Linked DNA regions of Oryzias latipes. Each later gene encodes a partner of the first gene's protein in a complex. Links are inferred from orthologs where the notes say so. Each region holds a gene or a part of one and is shown on either strand. Other genes may lie near its edges. The genes, in order: mtor, rptor, mapkap1 and deptor.

Region 1 (4,113 bases):
GTTCCAAACAGGATGTGGCTTCAAGAAGCCAAAATGGTCAGAAGAACCGTTCTGGATCTAACTTTTCTGAACATCTTGATAATCCTCATTTTTTTTCATAAATATTTTTTCTGTAGTTTAAGTTATCGAACGTTTGACAGATTTTGTGTAGCCCACCTTCAAGTGGTAGGGGTGTGGCCTTCCAACAAGCTCACTCCTGATTGGCCAGAAGTGGTGGCCATAGAATTGATGACTCATAGCGACTCAGACCAATCACTACTTGCTGACGACGTCTGGCTCCAACATCTAATCTATCCCACAATTATGCAGACTAATTGACTTTTCTTCTTGTATCTCTATTTCTTTGACGTCACCCTGATGGACAAATATCTGTTATGAAGACCTCTCCAAGGCTTTATTCTTTATTTTTTTACCCTCCAATCAATCTATAAATTAACATCTTAAATGGATTTGATAGTTCTATAGTCTTTTTCCTTTATTTTTATCTCTGAAAATAGCTTCAAATCAACAAATCACTGAAGTTCTATGTAAATGTTAAAGTATTAAGACACACAGAAAGACTTCAAAGTACGAAATTCTCTTTACGTTGATTTTATTGAAGCGTTTATTTTGAGGCATTGCTGTGCGTCAATGTGATCGAACCAAGAAAAGAAGCAGCAGGTTCCCAGGGTTCAAGATCCTCAACAGCAAGACAAAAATAAACTGAAAGGATCCAATCCTGCCTTTAAGTTTGCACAGAAGCGTCTCAGCATCTTGTGAGGATCTCCTGCAGTTGTGTGGATCCAGGCTGGAAGGGTGTGGGTTGTGTTTGTGTCGGGTTGTGTTGCCGTTGGCGTTGGGTTGTGTTTTGTCTTTGTGAGGTTTGTTACCAAATGCTGGTCTGGTCCGTCTCCCGCTGTAAACGGGACAGGGGAATGAAGAAAGATCACAGGCTGTTGGCATTTAATGTTAAACTAATGTTTGTGTGATTCAACACTGAAGAACACAGCAAATGACACCAGAACTGGGCTTCTGTGCTGCAGGAGTACTGGACTCCCAACAACCCCATGCAGAACACCATCATCCTCCTGATCGAGCAGATTGTGGTGGCGCTCGGTGGAGAGTTCAAGCTCTACCTGCCTCAGCTCATCCCACACATGCTGCGCGTTTTCATGCACGACAACAGCACCGGCCGCAGCGTAACCATCAAGGTGGGTGTTTCCGCGTGCTGGAGCTCTGTGCTGCTGCTGTTGAGCTGTGTTTTCTAACGGTCCTGTGAGGTTTTCTCCAACTGTGGTATCTGTCCGTGTATAGATCTATGCACTGAGCCTTAGTAGGTCGGTTCTCCTTCTTCCTGTCACCGAGACTAACATGCCTGCTGAGCAGCTCCCTGTTGGAACTGACCCCAGCAGGGACCTGCAGCATGCACAGCAGTCCTGTGGGGGCCCTTCCTCCCGCCTGCATGTGACCCGTAACAGTCCTAAGATGCATCCATGAGGTTCAACCTCCAAAACGTCAATACAGGTCTTTGCAGATTCCGTCCAGAACAGTTTCAAATGGTCCTCCTTCACTCCATGCTCCTGCAGAACCACAGATCAGTTTACCGCCAACTTACTGAGGCTCTGACCAGAGCCAGTCACCCCCCCCCCCCCCCCACCAACCCCCAGCTTTAGTGCATCAGTAAAAACTCCATGGACCTGCAGCACTGCAGCTTTACTGGAGTTTGTGGGAATCCGTTTGGTTCTGTCTGGTCTGCAGAGTCTGTAATTGCAGTTCATGGATTCACGGGGGCGGCAGAGGGGGTGTCAGGTTCTGGTCCAAAGGAAAAGGAAAACAAACTTTTCCATTTTTTTCAAATCTTTTTCAGCTCCCACCCCCACCCCCCCCATCCTACAGCATATCCATAAATACTCGTACGCCTTCACTTCAGCTTCCTGCCGTCTCGCCATGTGCCCTTTAGACATAGGCTGCTGGGGGGGGCAGAGATGCTGGGAGGGGGGTTGTCTGCAGCATACGTCATCCTTTTAAGACCCCAGAGTGTCTGCATTCTTCACACAAGGATTTTTACTGTAGAACCAAAAAGGCCTATACTGTTCTGGAAAGTTTTCCCATGATCCTTTGCTCCTCTCATATCACTTTTACCAGATGAACCAGAGTTTATTTCAAACCATATATTGAACTTTTTACAGGATTTGGATGACTTTAGAGTCATTAACTCTTCCTTTGACTCCTCGTGGGGGGGGGGCGGGTGAGGGGTGTGTGTGTGTGTGGGGGGGGGGGGGGTTTGGAGTCTTCATCCATGTTGTTCTTGCAGCTGCTAAATGCCATCCAGCTGTTTGGTGCTAACCTGGACGACTACCTTCACCTGCTGCTGCCCCCCATTGTCAAACTATTTGATGCCCCCGACGTTCCCCTGCAGGCCCGCAAGTGAGTTCTGACTTTCATCCCATATGGAGTGACATCTCACGTTGTAGTGGCAAATGAAAATATTAAATATTTGCTTTCAAATAAAATGTTTCCGTTTGCAACACAAATGTTTTCTCATGCGTTGTGACTCATCTCGCTGTTTTCCTATCTTTGATTTTGCTCTCATAAGTTTGTTTAGCTGACAAAGCTGCCATCAAACGGAAAAGAAAAATTGAAAGCAAAGAAAAATAATTTGACAGCAAATATTTAATATTTTTATTTGCAACCTGAAGAGTTTTGTGTGCAACGCGGCGGCATAAATACAGCTCCATAGGAATGCCGTGTTCCCTCGCTGTATCGCGGTCCACCTTTCACCGTCTCGCTCTTTCACAGACTTTTATTCTGGAAAATGTTGGATCCTTTTATTATTGTTTTTTAATTTTGCATTGCGTTCTGTGTCCTGATTGGCTGTAGACTTTGTCAATCAATCCGTGTCATTGGCTAAATCTTCGATCATGATCAGATCTATGTTTCTGGACGGTTTTTTCCATGAAGGTTTGAACTTTGAGAGTCTTTAACCAAAAGAGAAAAGTGTGGAAAATGTTGAGGTCTGCCTGAGAAGAGTGTAGAAAGTGTGCAGCGTTGAGTTAAACATCTATGCTGCTTCACAGATTCATCGGTCGCGGGTCATTTTTAGGACGTATGCCTGCTAAAACGAGGGAACGCTGTAAATGAAAGTAAACTGTGACGTGAGAAGAACCAGGTGTGGATGATACGGAGCTAAAAGCAGGCGTTTCCTGGTGGTTCCTGTTCTTTCATGTAGAGAGCGGCGCTAAAGCGCCTCAGATAGCTCTGTTTGTGAGCACGTTTTCATGTGAACCGGATCGGTTTCCTGTTTTCTTGTGTGGTTCAGGGTTGCCTTGGAGACCCTCGACAGGCTGACGGAGTCCCTGGACTTCACAGACTACGCTTCTCGCATCATTCACCCCATCGTTAGGGCGCTTGACAGCACTCCTGAGTTACGGTCCACCTCCATGGACACCCTGTCCTCACTGGTTTTCCAGTTGGGAAAGAAGGTAGGCACATTGGTCCCTGGAGTGTGCTGTTATTCTGTAGGCCGGCCTCTACTCTGTTGGCCAGACATGAACCAGGTTTCCGTAACCCTCCTCAGTCTCTGCTACTTCCTGCCAGACTAATGATGTCACAGACTGTTTGCCAGCAGGGGGTGTTGTTTATGAGAGTGGATGAGGACACATGTACCCTGGGCTCTCAAGACCCTTCTCCTCTTCACTCTTTTTATTGTCCTGAGGTCTAACCTCAGAACCACCAGGCCTCCTTCCAGTCATGACTGGCAGCAAAGCCACAGGAAAGGCTTTTGATCCGTCACTCATGGAGGTTGCATGTTAGTGCCGCATGGCCCTCTATTTACTTTATGGAGAAAGGAAAAAACTGTAGCTGGGCCCACCGCATCAAGCATGTGTAGTCTTTGTTTACATGGCCTCTCTTTCTGCTTATTTTCAGTACCAGATATTTATCCCCATGGTGAACAAAGTGATGCTGAAGCACAGGATCAATCACCAGCGCTACGACATTCTCATATGCCGCATTGTGAAAGTAAGTTCTTCTGCTTTCTGGAAATGTACTCAGAGTTATTGGGACTGAATTTGGGGGATTTGTCTCCGGTTCCCGGAGGTCCAAATATCAGGACGTAAACTTCTCCTCGGGATT
Region 2 (4,113 bases), on another chromosome or scaffold:
CTTCAGCACCACGGACAGTTCCCGCGTCACGATGATGATAATCAACCAGAAGCAGAGGAGCTTAGCAGCGTAAACAAATATGGAATACATGATAAAAGTAAGGTATATTAATACTGACATCCAGGAGGGAAACTAAGAAATATACTTTTTTCTTAAGTGGGAAAGAGCAACAACAGACATTAATGCCTCGCTTTCACTGAGTGGTCCGGTACAGTCCCGTTTGGTATTTTAAGTGTTTCCGTTATAAAATGGACCCATTAAGCTGGAGTGAGTCGTATTATTTTTGGGCCCCGGTCGTTTATAGGTCCACAGAAAAATAGTTGGGGCGAAGCTGCTATTGAAACCCGTTGATTGGCTGAAAGTGATTACAACAAATGAAGGCACCAAAAAAAGCTGCTGAACTCCTCTTCACCGCCGGCAAACTTCTCTCAAACAGCATTCCTTAATCTACTTGAAGTACCAAAAGACAAGCAGAGAAAAATGAGCTGCTGGATGACCTCTATTGTTGTTGTTAGCTAAACCGGACTGGTGAAAACGAGGTTTAACGATAACTGCTGTTAAGTAAAAATGCAAAATAGATGGCAAAAGTAATTTATAGTTGCAGAAATCTGGGGGGGGGAAAGACTCTCAGAACAAAAGTGTTTAAAGCCACATCAACCCCAAACTCTGATCATCTTCAACATTTAATTTAAGAAGAAAGTTGTAGCAAAAATAATGAAAGTCTTAGGCTTTAAACAGCAACTGTATCTGTACAGTAAATGTTCTGATGATCTTTTACTCTGATTGTTACTATTTCCTTCACTAACTGAATCCTCAGTAGCCCTCCTTTAAAGTTATGTTTGTGTCTGAACTCACTCACTACTCCCTGGTTAGAGCACTTTATAAGGCCCTCATCATTTTGTCGGAATCCGAATCAACAATTCTAACATCCAGTGACCCGGAGATTTCTCTGTGCGCACTGATGCTCACTAAATTGGTGAGTATAGACCTATGCGTTGTGGTTGAACGAAAAATATTTATGAAGTTTATTTATTTATTTAATTATAGAAGTTTTCATCATCAGATACAGTTGAGTCTTTGTCAAATGTTAATATTTGCTAGGTTTTAGTTTGGCTAATGTCATAGGTGACATTTAAAAAACTTAAAAAATAAAAATAAAATAAAAAGTATTCAGCGTGCTTCTGAATTAATGCATAATGGATAGTCTGGCACTACTGCTTATTGCCTTTTGAGTAGTACCGAGGGAATTCGGACATGTGATCTTTATCATGTTCTCTCATCCTCTATTTCCCAGCTTTCCCTGGGGTCTCACCTTCCTCGTTGAGATTGAGGTTCTGCAGACTTTTATTCAGATTCCGGGCGGTGGTGACAGCTCGGATGTTGGTGTAGGAGTTGACAGATCGCAGGCGGGGGATGGCGGGACTGTCCCTTACTGGCGTGAGGTTCCCAGGCTCTAATCAGCAGCAGACAGCAACAGGTTAGAGCATTAAAAAAAAAAAAAAAAAAAAGCTCTTCTCTTCTCACAAAAGGATTTACGAATAGATTCCAAATTACAGGATAGGTTAGGGAAAAAGAGTAATTACTGTCCTAGAATTCAGTGCTCCCCCGGTGTATAAAGCAACAGGATTGGTTGATTAAACCCCAGTGAGGTTTCAAACAAAAGTGTGGTCCATGAATGTAGAACTTCCTCATAAACTTACCCCTGCAACCCCTACACACCTGACTGAGAAGAGAAGCTTATTTCCAGCTTTAGATCCCTTGAGCTCCTCCTTAAATTTATTCTAAACCCTGTGATGGATAAACGCAAAACATATTTGGAAAAACACGCTTCATCTCCACCTCCATCTCAACGGTTTCAGACTGGAAAGTCCTTTTCAAGTCATGTTTTTGTCAGAAGGAGGAGGAAAAAAACTGCCAGAACAATGTGGAGAAATGGCATAAGCTGCGATTGCTGACATGTTTTAGCAGCTGCTGCTATGAAGTTTGGGAGACAAGGCGCTGGTGTCGCCAGGTGTGTACCTGTAGTGTTAGCGGGTGACGGCACCGAGTAGTTCTTCTCTTCTTCTATAAACTGGAGGGCAACTGTGCAGAAGTTGCTTTCATACTGAACCACCAGGTGACTCAGCGCGACCACCAGCTCCTGAAAAAAAAATATAAACACATTCAGAGAATCCAGTAACTCCCAAACAGATTTTCTTCCTGTCATGTAGGACGGTTGCTTCCGTCAAGTCCATAAATTTCTCAAAGGGCTTTTTCCTGCTTATACCATGGCCACTTACCAAAGGAATAAATAGTACATAAATTATTAGTACTTCAATCTTGATTTTTTTTTAAACACTTATATCATGCTTTTCTTAAGCCTTTCAGAGTAAACCATATCCATATATATATATATATATATATATATATATATATATATATATTGATAAATATATGATAATATATATTACCTTTGGCACACTAAGGAACACATTTTTTTTAATTAAATATGAGTCATTTTTTTACAGTTACTGTAAAAACTCGATCTCTGAGGCACTGCCTTTTTCTCCTGTGACGTCAACCTAGAGCCCACGAAATCAAACATCCGAACTTTTGCAAAGATGGATGTACATATAAAATAAAAATGTTTAGTCAGTCACAGCTAGCTACCCTGAGAAAGTGTGTGTGTTAGCCTGGGAGCCGTGATGGCAGTGCAAAATCTTCCTGGAAGGGGCTGTTCTCACTTTGTGATGTCACAATGTGAGGACCCGCTTGTTTTTGTGGATTGGGAGGGGCTGGTGCTCAGAGTGCAGGATTTTAGAGGAATACTCAGAGATGCTGGAATGGAGCAAAATACCACTTTGGGGTTGAACATTATAATACACTTAAAAGCTAATAAAAAGGAATTTTGTCATGATATAGACCTTTAAATGTTTAATCAGTTTTTCACAAGAAGCAGACTTTTAAACATGGGCTGTGACTCATTGTCATGGTAATGGGTACAGAACCTCTCAATCTGCTGCAGATGATGTGAGGACTAACCAGCAGGGGAAAGCAGTAAAGGTGCAAAAATCCTGAAAAGTGATCCAAAGAATAATTTTCGAGGTAAGGTTCACCACTTGTTTTTATCCAGACAATGAAGCAAAAGTTTGTTTCAAAGAAGCCAGTACAGCGATACAGAACATATGGGCTATGTGAACGGAACTTCATATTTAGGTGTACATTATCACTGTCCATTATCACATTTTAGTTCACACCCAGCAGCCAATCAGAATCGAGTATTCCCCTGGACCATGGTATAAATCGTTATCACGTCTCGGATGTTTTCCTTTGATTATCTGTGGTTACACACATGGAAGTATCTTAGTTTAACTCAGAAATCTCCTCAAAACAAATGGTTTTGGAGTGCTAAAAGTGCTGCTTACACCTTCAGAGAAATGTTGCTTTTATTTGTAGAGAGTGGGAGGAGAGCTCTGCAGCTTCACTCCTGTCAGGGCTGTAAGTTTAAGACTCCAACTGGGAGGTAATTAGTTTTTAAGTTAGCATTCAGGAGGCAGGGGTAAACACTCACCCCATTCCTACAAACACATCTGATGAAGTTTCCAAAATGTCAGAAAATTGTCTTTGTCCAGCAATGTGATTTCTACGTTTGTTCTCAGAGAATAAACACCAGAAAAACTGTCTTTTAATGATTTAAATGTATATTTTTTGCATTAAAGTCAGCATTACAGCACACAGAGCTTAGCATGTGGATGTTTTTGTGCTTCACAGACCTTCCGGACCACAGGGCTGCCATCATTGATAAGCTGCGCCAGCATCATCGCCACGTTGTGGTCGATGGTGGTGGAGTGATCCGTCCTCTCTCCGGAGTTTCCGACAAATGTTCCCAGAGCAAAGACAGCTGCACACCTCACCTGCAGTCACACAAACCAGACAAAGAGCTCGTCTATCTGTCCTTCAGGGAGAACTTGGCTGTAATGACATTAATGAATTCCCGTCCGAGCTCAGTTTTCAGCCTTTGAAAGTCAAATATTTGCTCACCAGAATCACACAAAAATGCTTTAATGACTATAGAGACAAGTGGATGAAAGTATTCGAGGTCATTACAGTTCAATTTTCCGGCTCAGCGTGAGA
Region 3 (4,556 bases), on another chromosome or scaffold:
CCCAGAGCGAGGGCCCACAGCGAGATCCGCTGCTGACCGCAGATAGCTCCGCCCCCTCCCACCGACTGCTACGATGCTCTTCAGTGGACGCCTCGCAGAAAACCTTCCACTTTACAGGCTCCGATTCATTTGTTCTATGGTTTATAAGGGGGACGCAGACAAATGAGGAAAAAGAAATTCAGGAACAAAACACAGCGCAGAATAGGGATGCTTTAAAACTCATTTTACCACGTGGTTTCATCATTAAAGCGGATTGTGGAGAAAGCATTTTTGCATCCTCAAAGCAAACCATACTGTGGGGCTGAAAAGGTTCAAGCCAATGATAATTGTGTTTGGTTTTAACGTGTTCTTTTAACATTTCTCTGATGATTGAGGAAATGTATAGAGAACATTTAGCTCAAAACTGCATTTTTTTGTATTTCTTTATTCAAATTGTTGTGAATCAGGAGCAGACGAAAAAGTTCTGTTAGGTAATGTTTGCAATGTGGTTACATAAATATACTTTTATGTTTGTGTATATATATATCCAGACAAATACCAGTAGATCCAATTTTTTTACTGTAAGATTGGATAAAGGCACAGGCAGTGGGGGGCAATGCCCCCCTAAATACAGTGACTGCCCCCTAAATGTGATGGGCCACAAAAATCCACAAATAACTACAGGAATAAAAAAATAAAACAACTACAAGTCAAAAAAATGTAAGTATTTATGTATATGGAAGGACACACAGGCAAAGATACATAAAAAGAAAAAGGGTAGTGGTAGAGGGTGGTCTTCTTCAAACTGCTCCTGATTCCAAACAATTTGAATAAATAAACACTCAGAAATGCCATTTTAAGCTGAATTTTCATTATGGATGTCCTCTATCATCAGAAAAATGAGAACATGAACATGTCAAAAACATGTTCTTGTGGCAAAAAATAAGAATTTCACCAGAGTGGGTCTTTAAAGAGAGAGATGGAAATCTGTTGACAGGTTCCACAAGTGTAATGGAAAGATGGAAGAACTTTGAAGATCTCAAAAATATCCATGTAAATAGAAAAGGTTCTTGCAAATTTTTGCTGCGATAATTCTTTTTACTCATGATCGCACGATTTTGCAGCCACATTTCTATTTCATGTGATGATACTTTGAACTTGCAAAAGCATAATTTTATCTTGCTCTGGCATCTCTCTCTCTTTTTTAACTTTTCTTTATTTTTTCACTTTCTAGTGTGAAGTGCATTTGGATGTGTGCACAACATTTTGTAAACGCTGAAATACTAGTAAGGAATAAAGGTGCATATAATTCAGTGTTCCTTTACTTTCACTGCCTCGGTCAGTGAACTGCTCTTGTGCGTGTTTTTCGTTTGGTGGCTCTTTTATTGTGAAGAGATTACACCGGAAGTCAAAAGGATGTCTTCCTGGTTGCACGAGCGCAGCAGATTGCATTGGCTTTCGGTTGTTTTGAGACTTTAATGCATTGAATTGTTTTTCACGGATGTAACGACTCGTCGGCCAAATAAGTAGACTGGATGAGATGGAGGGACGTGGACTCTGCTGTGTCTCGTCAGAAAAACGTAGAGGTGGGATCTTCTTTCTGTTCATACCACTGCTATTGCTAACTGACTCGGGAGAGATAATCGTTAGCTTGAGTTTAGTCACCGCTAACCGACTGTAATGCGATCTGTAAGCTGTTCCTGTCATGTTACACGCTTATAAAGTATGAATCACTTCAGTCTGTAGATCCTCCTGCTACTTTTTGGAGCAGCTGAAATGGATTTTGTTGTAATTCAGCTGGTTTAAGTGAGCCATTTTGGTTAGGAAAACAAGGTGCTGCTAACGCAAAACATGATGATGATCTGATAAATGTACACAGAACTTTTTAATCCGATTGTTTAACTTCTACCTTCTTAAAATGATAAACTCCGACACAAATTTGTATTTACTGACATGTGGTGTTTGTTTCAGTTGTGTCGTGTGTTTTACACGAGCGTGTTTTTCCTGTGAGAACTTTCCCCAGATAAGACTGTGTCCTCAGCTGAAATGACCGTCAGACATCATTTACAGCTGTTACAGTGGGAACTGTTACGTCATCACAGTGATTTCTGTGCTCATAATCCGTTTTCTTGATGGTGAAGTGTTCTTCTCAGCTGCCCATGCGCTCAGCGCCGTCATCTGCCTGTTGTAGCTGTCAACATCCGTGTTTAGACTAAACACTGTGAACAAACTTCGTGTTTTCAGATGTGACACGACTTCTGATTCTTCAAAAAAAAAAAAGTTAGCGTTGTGCCCAAACACTAAAAAACACTGGCATTTGTCTGATGATAGAGGACATATATAAAGAAAATTAGGCTCAAAACTGTATTTCTGAGTATTTCTGTGTTCACGTAGTTGTGAATCAGGAGCAGACAAAGAAATGCTGTTAGAAAAAGCTTGTTGTAACTGAAGCTACTGCAGAAAGCCACAAGCTTCCTGCCCCTCCTCATTCTAATGCATCCACTCATGGACAACTTGTTCCATGTACATCTTTGTTTTCCCTGTCTGAGCTGGAATCTGGATCAAAACTGTATGGCTGGACAGCGCCAATATTGCTCACCATTTTTATCGCAGTGCTCATGTTAAGGCCCGTACACACCGGGACGAATATTCGCCAGGCGTTATTCGCCAGCGTTTTTCGCCACGTTTTTTGTGTTCACACCCAGGCGATTTCCACTGACGATGAGCCGAGCGAACATGCAATTTCCTTCCCTGACATTAGATGGCGCTTAATGTAAACAGAAATACTCCTGTACACAAGGTGGCGCTGCGCAACTTTACGCTTATTAAAGTCGCTTTTCACTCAGAAGAAGAGAGCAAGTATTTACGCGCTTGTCAGAATCAAACAAAGAAAACATGAATATTTCAAGCACCAGTTGCTCCAACTGGTGCTTGGTTCGGGGATATTTTAGAATGTCCGTCATTATTTCTTCGCAGCAGTGTAGACGCTACTTGGCGTCTATCTTCTTCGCTGGTATGTGTGCTCAGCAAGGCAGTTTTGTGTTTGAGCGCCCCCAAGTTGTGTTTTACTGTAACTTCAGAAGCTCCAGACATGTGTGCAAAAGCGCCATTCTCATTGGTCGAATAGATTTCGACGCGACGCGTCGAAAAAAAAAAAACGAACCCGAGGCGTTTTTTTTTTTGACGCTTTGACGCCTGGCGTTTTTTCGCGTCGGTGTGCACACTCCCATTGGTGCCCTTTGTTTAGTCACGAGGCGTTAAACGTCGGCGAAAATCGCCAGCGAAATTCGTCCCGGTGTGAACGGGCCTTTAGGTTGGCGTTGTTAGAGGCTCTAAGCTAGTTGGAGAGACTGTAAACAGATTGGTGACGGGAAGTGGTGGTGGGCTAGCTATGTGCCACTGGTCAACTCAGAGAATCTCTAATGAACTCCTGCTGCTCTGCAGAAACCATGCCATAGAAAACTACACATAAAACAGCATAAACATAAAGAAAGACTTCTGAGAATGCTTTTTGCAATAGATCAAAAGATGATAGGAGCGGGACTTCAACATCAATATTGAAAATAACCAAAAAAACATGGTTCAAATACATTTTGGCAATTGACTGTATAAGAGAACTGGACTTGCCGACCCCTCCCCCTGGTGTTCCTAACAGGAAGTACGCGCTGGCCCCAAGAAGCCAAAATCCTATAGACTTCTATATAGAAATAAACAGCTGTTAATCAGTCATTCTGTTGGTCAGAATAACCATTCTTGCTCCGATACCTTTTTTGAACATGTTCTTGATAATCCTATTTTTTCTAATAATATTTTTTCTTTAGTACAAGCTAATCATGTTATAAACTGACCAATCATGGGTCTCAATAAAAGCGTGTGGCCTCATGTTCAAAGATTGATTAACAGATTTTGTGCAGTCCGCTTTAAGTGGTAGGGGTGTGGCCTTTCAACAAGCTCTCTCTGGATTTGTGAGAGTGGTTGCCATAACAATGTTGACTCTGATTGTCTTAGACCAATCACTCCTTGCTAACATTGTCTGACTCCCAACCTGGCGACGTCCACATTGCAAAAAATGGTGACTGAAGTTACTTCAATTGGTTGGAACCAGAAGTAAGCCAATTTTCTGTGAGTGACGTCACACTTACTCTGTCCAGTTCTCATATTCAGTCAATGAGTTGGATTGACCCACGCATTTCATAGTTCTAAACAAAAAGAAAATCTATATTCACAAACATTTTTCAAAACAAAACAAATATGTTCTAGTTGTCTGTCTGATCGTTTTTCTGGTTGTTTTCCTTTTTACAGGGCCTTTTACATCTTCATCAGTGGACGTGATGGAATAGTAAAGGGCTGAAAATGAAAAACTTGCCCCACTAGCTGCCAAGGTGCGCCGAACAGAAAGTGAGGCCCACGTTATGTGTCCAGGCTCCACGGTGACAAAAAGCTTTACTCTGTCTCACTGAGAACACAGGACATGGCTTTTTTGGACAATCCTGCAATCATTTTGGCCCACATCAGGCAGTCTCATGTGACCAGCGACGACACAGGAATGTGTGAGATGGTCCTCATAGACCAGGATG
Region 4 (4,113 bases), on another chromosome or scaffold:
CGGAGTTTTAGAATTTTGAGAAAGAATTTTCTATGCCCTTTTTTTTCTTTCTTTCTCCATGGCCCTAATCCTCTTCTGTAAGCAGGTGTACGGAAAAAAACTCGTAATTTTGCGAGATTAAATTGGAAGTGAGCAGCAAGTGAACGCCGCGCAGCAGCAGAGCAGACCGACTAAACTTAGCTCTACACCGGCTTTCTAATGTTCTAAAGGCACTACAAATAAAGTTCCATACAAAGTGACTCTTATTATGTCTATAAAAGTAGTCTAAAGTCAAGCAGTTCAGTGATTACGTGTAGTTGATTGAGAAATTCCAATTAATCGATTGACCGCCCAGCCCAACTTCAGGGCTTTTGTTTTCACAGCTCGGTTTCTATACTGTAAATGTCCGTCTTGGTGTCATAATAATCCACCCGGACACAAACGGCAATTATTCATTTCTCCTTCGGGATCATGTCTCCAAGTGTTGGAACTTCTGTGTTTTGAAAAAGACGCTACCCACCAGTCACTCTCGAGTCCGAGTCCCTGATTGGTCACAGTGCTGCGTTGCAGCGTTCAGGCATGATAAAGTTCAGCCGATTGAACTTTCAGCACGCGATCAATGAACGCCTAACTTTCACATACAGCCCGCGACTTGCCTTAAAACGTAAAATGATCACGGGCGTTCCAGACGTGGGAGACGGAAATTCGGGTCTATGCACGTTTGCATGGAATTTTCATTGAAAGTGGCCGCATAAATGCGAGTCGACGCGGTCAATCTGATGTTATTTGGCTGATAAACGGTAGATCTAACAGGTTGATCTTTCCACATAACCCCTGTTCCAAGTCCATCCATGAGTTGGTTTCTGGATTGGTTTTCAACCATTTTAAGATGTATTGTAATCTATTTACAAGAAAGACGCTGTGGAAATTAGGTAACTCTAAGCCTCCAAAGCTTTTTGCAGATTTGAATGTTTTAGACCAATTATTGCTGGTTTGTTGTACCATAAGAAGCTTGATATGGATGAGTCGAATGCTTTGAACCATTTTAGTAAATATAGCAAAAAGAGAGGGGGAGAGTCTGGTTCCTCTTCCAAGAAAAAAGCTGTCAAAAGTCTGTTAGTTCTAACTGCTTCAATCTGTTGAAGCATCTCCTCCACCTCCTCCTCAGCCTCTCCTTCTGCTACTCTCATTTTCCTAGAGTTCCTGCTTTTGGATGGTGTTCAACCAAATAAAAGGAAATGTTTCCTTTAATGTCTCTTCTACACAAAGACAGAAAACAAACAAAAGCAGCGATGTCTGCCATGGCTGGTCAGTATTTGTCCATGTATACACATTTTTGTGTTTTTTAAATTAGTACATGAGGCTCATATGCTGGGAACACAGAAATTATCCTCCTGGACTGCAGCCAAAAACTGGGATTTGTAGATGAGTTGCCAGGCAACCGTGAGGTGAAGAAACTCCCAGAGAGCATTGAACAAAGTTTGCCAAAATGTCAAACTGTTCCTTTAAGACTGTGATGTTTTTCAGCTTATGTTGATTTGAAATCTATGCATAAACTTTGTTTTTAGTTCAAAATTACTCTTATATCTTATGTTATGTTGTTGTACAAAAACAATATTATTCATGTTGTGTTGAAAGTAGAATAAATCAGACCATATTAAGCGACTTTCGAAGTCTGAGTGGGTATGAAAGTGGTTTAAATTTTTTTTTATGGTCTGCAATCGAATTTCTATGGGTGTGTGTTTCCCCTTTGTCCCCATGCTGAGGCTTCTGAGCCAACACTTTACAATCTCCACGATCCCTCTGTGTGCAGGATTCCTCAGCCAAAGTGCCCGGCGGACGTGAAACCAGAGCTGGCTGCGAGGATGAGCGCACAACTCCGTTTCAGGCACAGCCCGCTGCAGAGCCGTGAAAACAGCTCAACAGAACCGATCGCAAATATAAACATGTAAAGCAGAGAAGAACTGATATCATTTCTTTCCTCGTTTCCTCTTTCGAAGCGGCGTGTTTACCCTCCGCCACATCTCTGTATTTCCTCATCTTCCACAACTACGCCTCCTGTCCCTCAGTCAATCATTAAAGCCACTGTGGAGCCTGTGGCCTCTTTCTTCTGGAGCAAACAGAGATAATCCGTCACAGTTTTCCAGAAGATTTGTTTTTCTGTCTTGGATAAAGTACGGGACGTTTTAATCTTAGCTGATCTCTTTGGATGTTAATAGGATAACAGTCATTCTATTCGTCCAGTCTTTGATTTCCACTTTGATCTGAAACTTTTTTCTCTTGGTTTTAGCAGCTTTAATGAGTCCACTTTCCCCCCTCTTTACAATGATTCCTTGCTGTCGTTCTTATCCACAGATCTTTATGAGGCCGCAAGGCTACAATTATATTCCTTTTGTTTTTCCTCAACATTTATTCAGCTTGATTGTGAACTCACAGCTGCTACCTGGCTGCAAAAAGAACTGGTATGCACATAATTATTTATTTCTCCTTGCAAATCTCTTCTGCTTCAGCAGTTGAAAGAAATATTTTTACAATTTTGTCATAAAACAAGATCAGTTAATTTGCCATCTACAGCCTAAAAGCCATATGTAGTAATATGATTATATAATGATGTTCAATAATGGTTATGGTGATGCAAAAAAACAAATTAAACTGACAGATTTAAAGCGAATGAGAAAGAAGTCAGGTCATCAAAAAGAAAGTACAACAAAGTACAAAAGCTGAGCACCAGCCCCTCACAATCCACAAAAACGAGCGGGTCCTCACATTGAAACATAGGCAAGTGAGAACAGCCCCTTCCAAGAAGAGTCTGCGCTGCCAGCTCCGCCCCCAGGCAAACACACACCCTGATTTAACCGTGAAGCTAGCTGTGTTTGGCAAAAACCCTCTCAGATCCAAAAATACTAACTATTGCTCTACAAACCAAGTCAGGGCGTCACAAAAATCTTTATTTTTTTTCACTTTCCTTTGATTGTAGGAAACAAAACCGACCTAAAGCATTTGAGTAAGCTTAAGAGTTTGTCCAAAGTCTTCTATTGCCCAAACTTTGATAGATAACATTTTATGCAGTAGGTCACACTCAAAAAACATGCCTGAATATTGTAAATACGTCACGAAAACACACAAACATTGCAAAACATTTCACTTCCACAATCAATCCTTCCAGACTCATTTAGCTGGAGATTGGTACACTTGCAGAATTAATAAGTTTAGATCCATATCTCCAAACTTGAGTGAAAGCCAGTGCCTGAGAAATCGAGTGGACTTACATGCGCACCAGTTTGTTTCTCGTCCGCACCACATACTTTGCTTTTGCGCATAAGAGCAATGAGCAGCAAACTGGTGCGCACGAAAAAGTATCTGGGACTTTCTGATGCTTCTTTCATCCGTACCTTCATGCCAGCAGCAGCTGCCGGTCCACTGGGATCCACAGCTTGAATGTGACACGGTTTGCTGCCTCGCACCACAAAGCCCCAACCGACAGCATCGCCGATGATCTGAGACACAACAGGAGTGTTTCTTTATTTTTATATAACTCCTTTTGCAACAAATATTTTTTCTAAACATCAAGAGAGAACATCAAGATATGAGGTCTAAGTAACTTTTCATGACCACAAACATTTGTGTAATACGGGATGCAGTTTGTGTGTGTGCACATTCTGTGTTTGTGTCCTACAGTGAATGTTTTCTTGGCAAAAGATCCTCCTGGTTTCTGCAGCTCCTCTGGAGTCACGTGTCTCTTAACGACTGTAAGAGAAACACAGAATGCCTTTCTTTTCTATACATCTGAATAGTAGAACAGTAAAAAAAATAAAAAAAACACATGTGGGCAAGCATTAGGTCACATGCACACACGTGTCAGTGTGATGGTAAATGTAGATGCCGCTCACATGCTGACAGAGACTGGAGGCCCTCTGTTTCCTGAAACACCAGCTTCTCTTTTTTCAACTTCCCAAAAAAACTATTACAGGGTTCAGCATAACCATGGTGGACTTTTCAGTATAAACATTCTCATGTTTTTGGGGGAAATGGCTGTGCGTTGTAAAACAAAAACAGCTCAATCGAAGAAGCTCAGGACCATTAAAATATTTCATGAAGTTGTAAACAAACTTGTTCACAATTTGAAAAAACAAT

Evidence for each region.
Region 2: the proteins of mtor (region 1) and rptor are in contact, whole or in part, in a cryo-EM structure (PDB 6BCU), measured with the Homo sapiens proteins. The link is inferred for Oryzias latipes from reciprocal best matches to the Homo sapiens genes MTOR and RPTOR. Residues at the interface, in NP_001373429.1 of Homo sapiens: His597, Thr600, Pro632, Val644, Ser645, Gln646, Thr647, Ala648, Val649, Ala653, His686, Ala688, Gln689, Glu691, Met721, Asn722, Pro723, Ala724, Phe725, Met727, Pro728, Phe729, Arg731, Lys732, Leu734, Ile735, Leu738, Thr739, His743, Tyr771; in NP_065812.1 of Homo sapiens: Phe278, Lys282, Cys283, Ser285, Leu286, Pro288, Gln380, Ala381, Asp383, Leu384, Asp387, Glu411, Gln412, Thr414, Ala415, Val418, Trp419, Thr421, Met422, Arg427, Asn428, Glu431, Gln432, Lys973, Ile974, Asp979, Leu980, Glu981, Ser982, Lys986.
Region 3: mtor (region 1) and mapkap1 share a complex: the UniProt entries of both Homo sapiens proteins name them as parts of the mechanistic target of rapamycin complex. The link is inferred for Oryzias latipes from reciprocal best matches to the Homo sapiens genes MTOR and MAPKAP1.
Region 4: the proteins of mtor (region 1) and deptor are in contact, whole or in part, in a cryo-EM structure (PDB 7PEC), measured with the Homo sapiens proteins. The link is inferred for Oryzias latipes from reciprocal best matches to the Homo sapiens genes MTOR and DEPTOR. Residues at the interface, in NP_001373429.1 of Homo sapiens: Met304, Gly305, Phe306, His1494, Cys1498, Trp1501, Gln1525, Asp1527, Ser1528, Glu1530, Glu1531, Cys1534, Met1535, Ile1536, Arg1538, Arg1547, Gln1554, Leu1556, Leu1559, Gln1562, Cys1563, Lys1566, Arg1683, Leu1685, Asp1686, His1687, Lys1710, Ile1711, Phe1714, Gln1715; in NP_073620.2 of Homo sapiens: Arg54, His56, Leu57, Lys58, Thr59, Tyr60, Pro61, Val101, Arg116, Lys119, Asp121, Gly122, Thr123, Phe124, Lys131, Ala132, Arg135, Arg138, Lys142, Glu177, Gly178, Glu179, Glu185, Cys304, Asn305, Lys307, Gly335, Asp336, Ala337, Val338.

What each region holds. Positions count from the first base shown.
Region 1 is NC_019865.2:1,196,068-1,200,180, reverse strand, and holds part of mtor (serine/threonine-protein kinase mTOR), read left to right. Parts: intron 1-1,022; coding exon 1,023-1,190; intron 1,191-2,293; coding exon 2,294-2,406; intron 2,407-3,298; coding exon 3,299-3,461; intron 3,462-3,906; coding exon 3,907-3,999; intron 4,000-4,113. UniProt on the Homo sapiens protein: Serine/threonine protein kinase which is a central regulator of cellular metabolism, growth and survival in response to hormones, growth factors, nutrients, energy and stress signals.
Region 2 is NC_019859.2:4,584,831-4,588,943, forward strand, and holds part of rptor (regulatory-associated protein of mTOR), read right to left. Parts: intron 3,894-4,113; coding exon 3,753-3,893; intron 2,141-3,752; coding exon 2,020-2,140; intron 1,789-2,019; coding exon 1,720-1,788; intron 1,454-1,719; coding exon 1,313-1,453; intron 1-1,312. UniProt on the Homo sapiens protein: Component of the mechanistic target of rapamycin complex 1 (mTORC1), an evolutionarily conserved central nutrient sensor that stimulates anabolic reactions and macromolecule biosynthesis to promote cellular biomass generation and growth.
Region 3 is NC_019870.2:25,040,498-25,045,053, forward strand, and holds the start of mapkap1 (target of rapamycin complex 2 subunit MAPKAP1), read left to right. Parts: upstream 1-1,379; 5' UTR 1,380-1,565; intron 1,566-4,281; 5' UTR 4,282-4,450; coding exon 4,451-4,556. UniProt on the Homo sapiens protein: Component of the mechanistic target of rapamycin complex 2 (mTORC2), which transduces signals from growth factors to pathways involved in proliferation, cytoskeletal organization, lipogenesis and anabolic output.
Region 4 is NC_019874.2:10,130,910-10,135,022, reverse strand, and holds part of deptor (DEP domain-containing mTOR-interacting protein), read right to left. Parts: intron 3,727-4,113; coding exon 3,656-3,726; intron 3,477-3,655; coding exon 3,372-3,476; intron 1-3,371. UniProt on the Homo sapiens protein: Negative regulator of the mTORC1 and mTORC2 complexes: inhibits the protein kinase activity of MTOR, thereby inactivating both complexes. DEPTOR inhibits mTORC1 and mTORC2 to induce autophagy.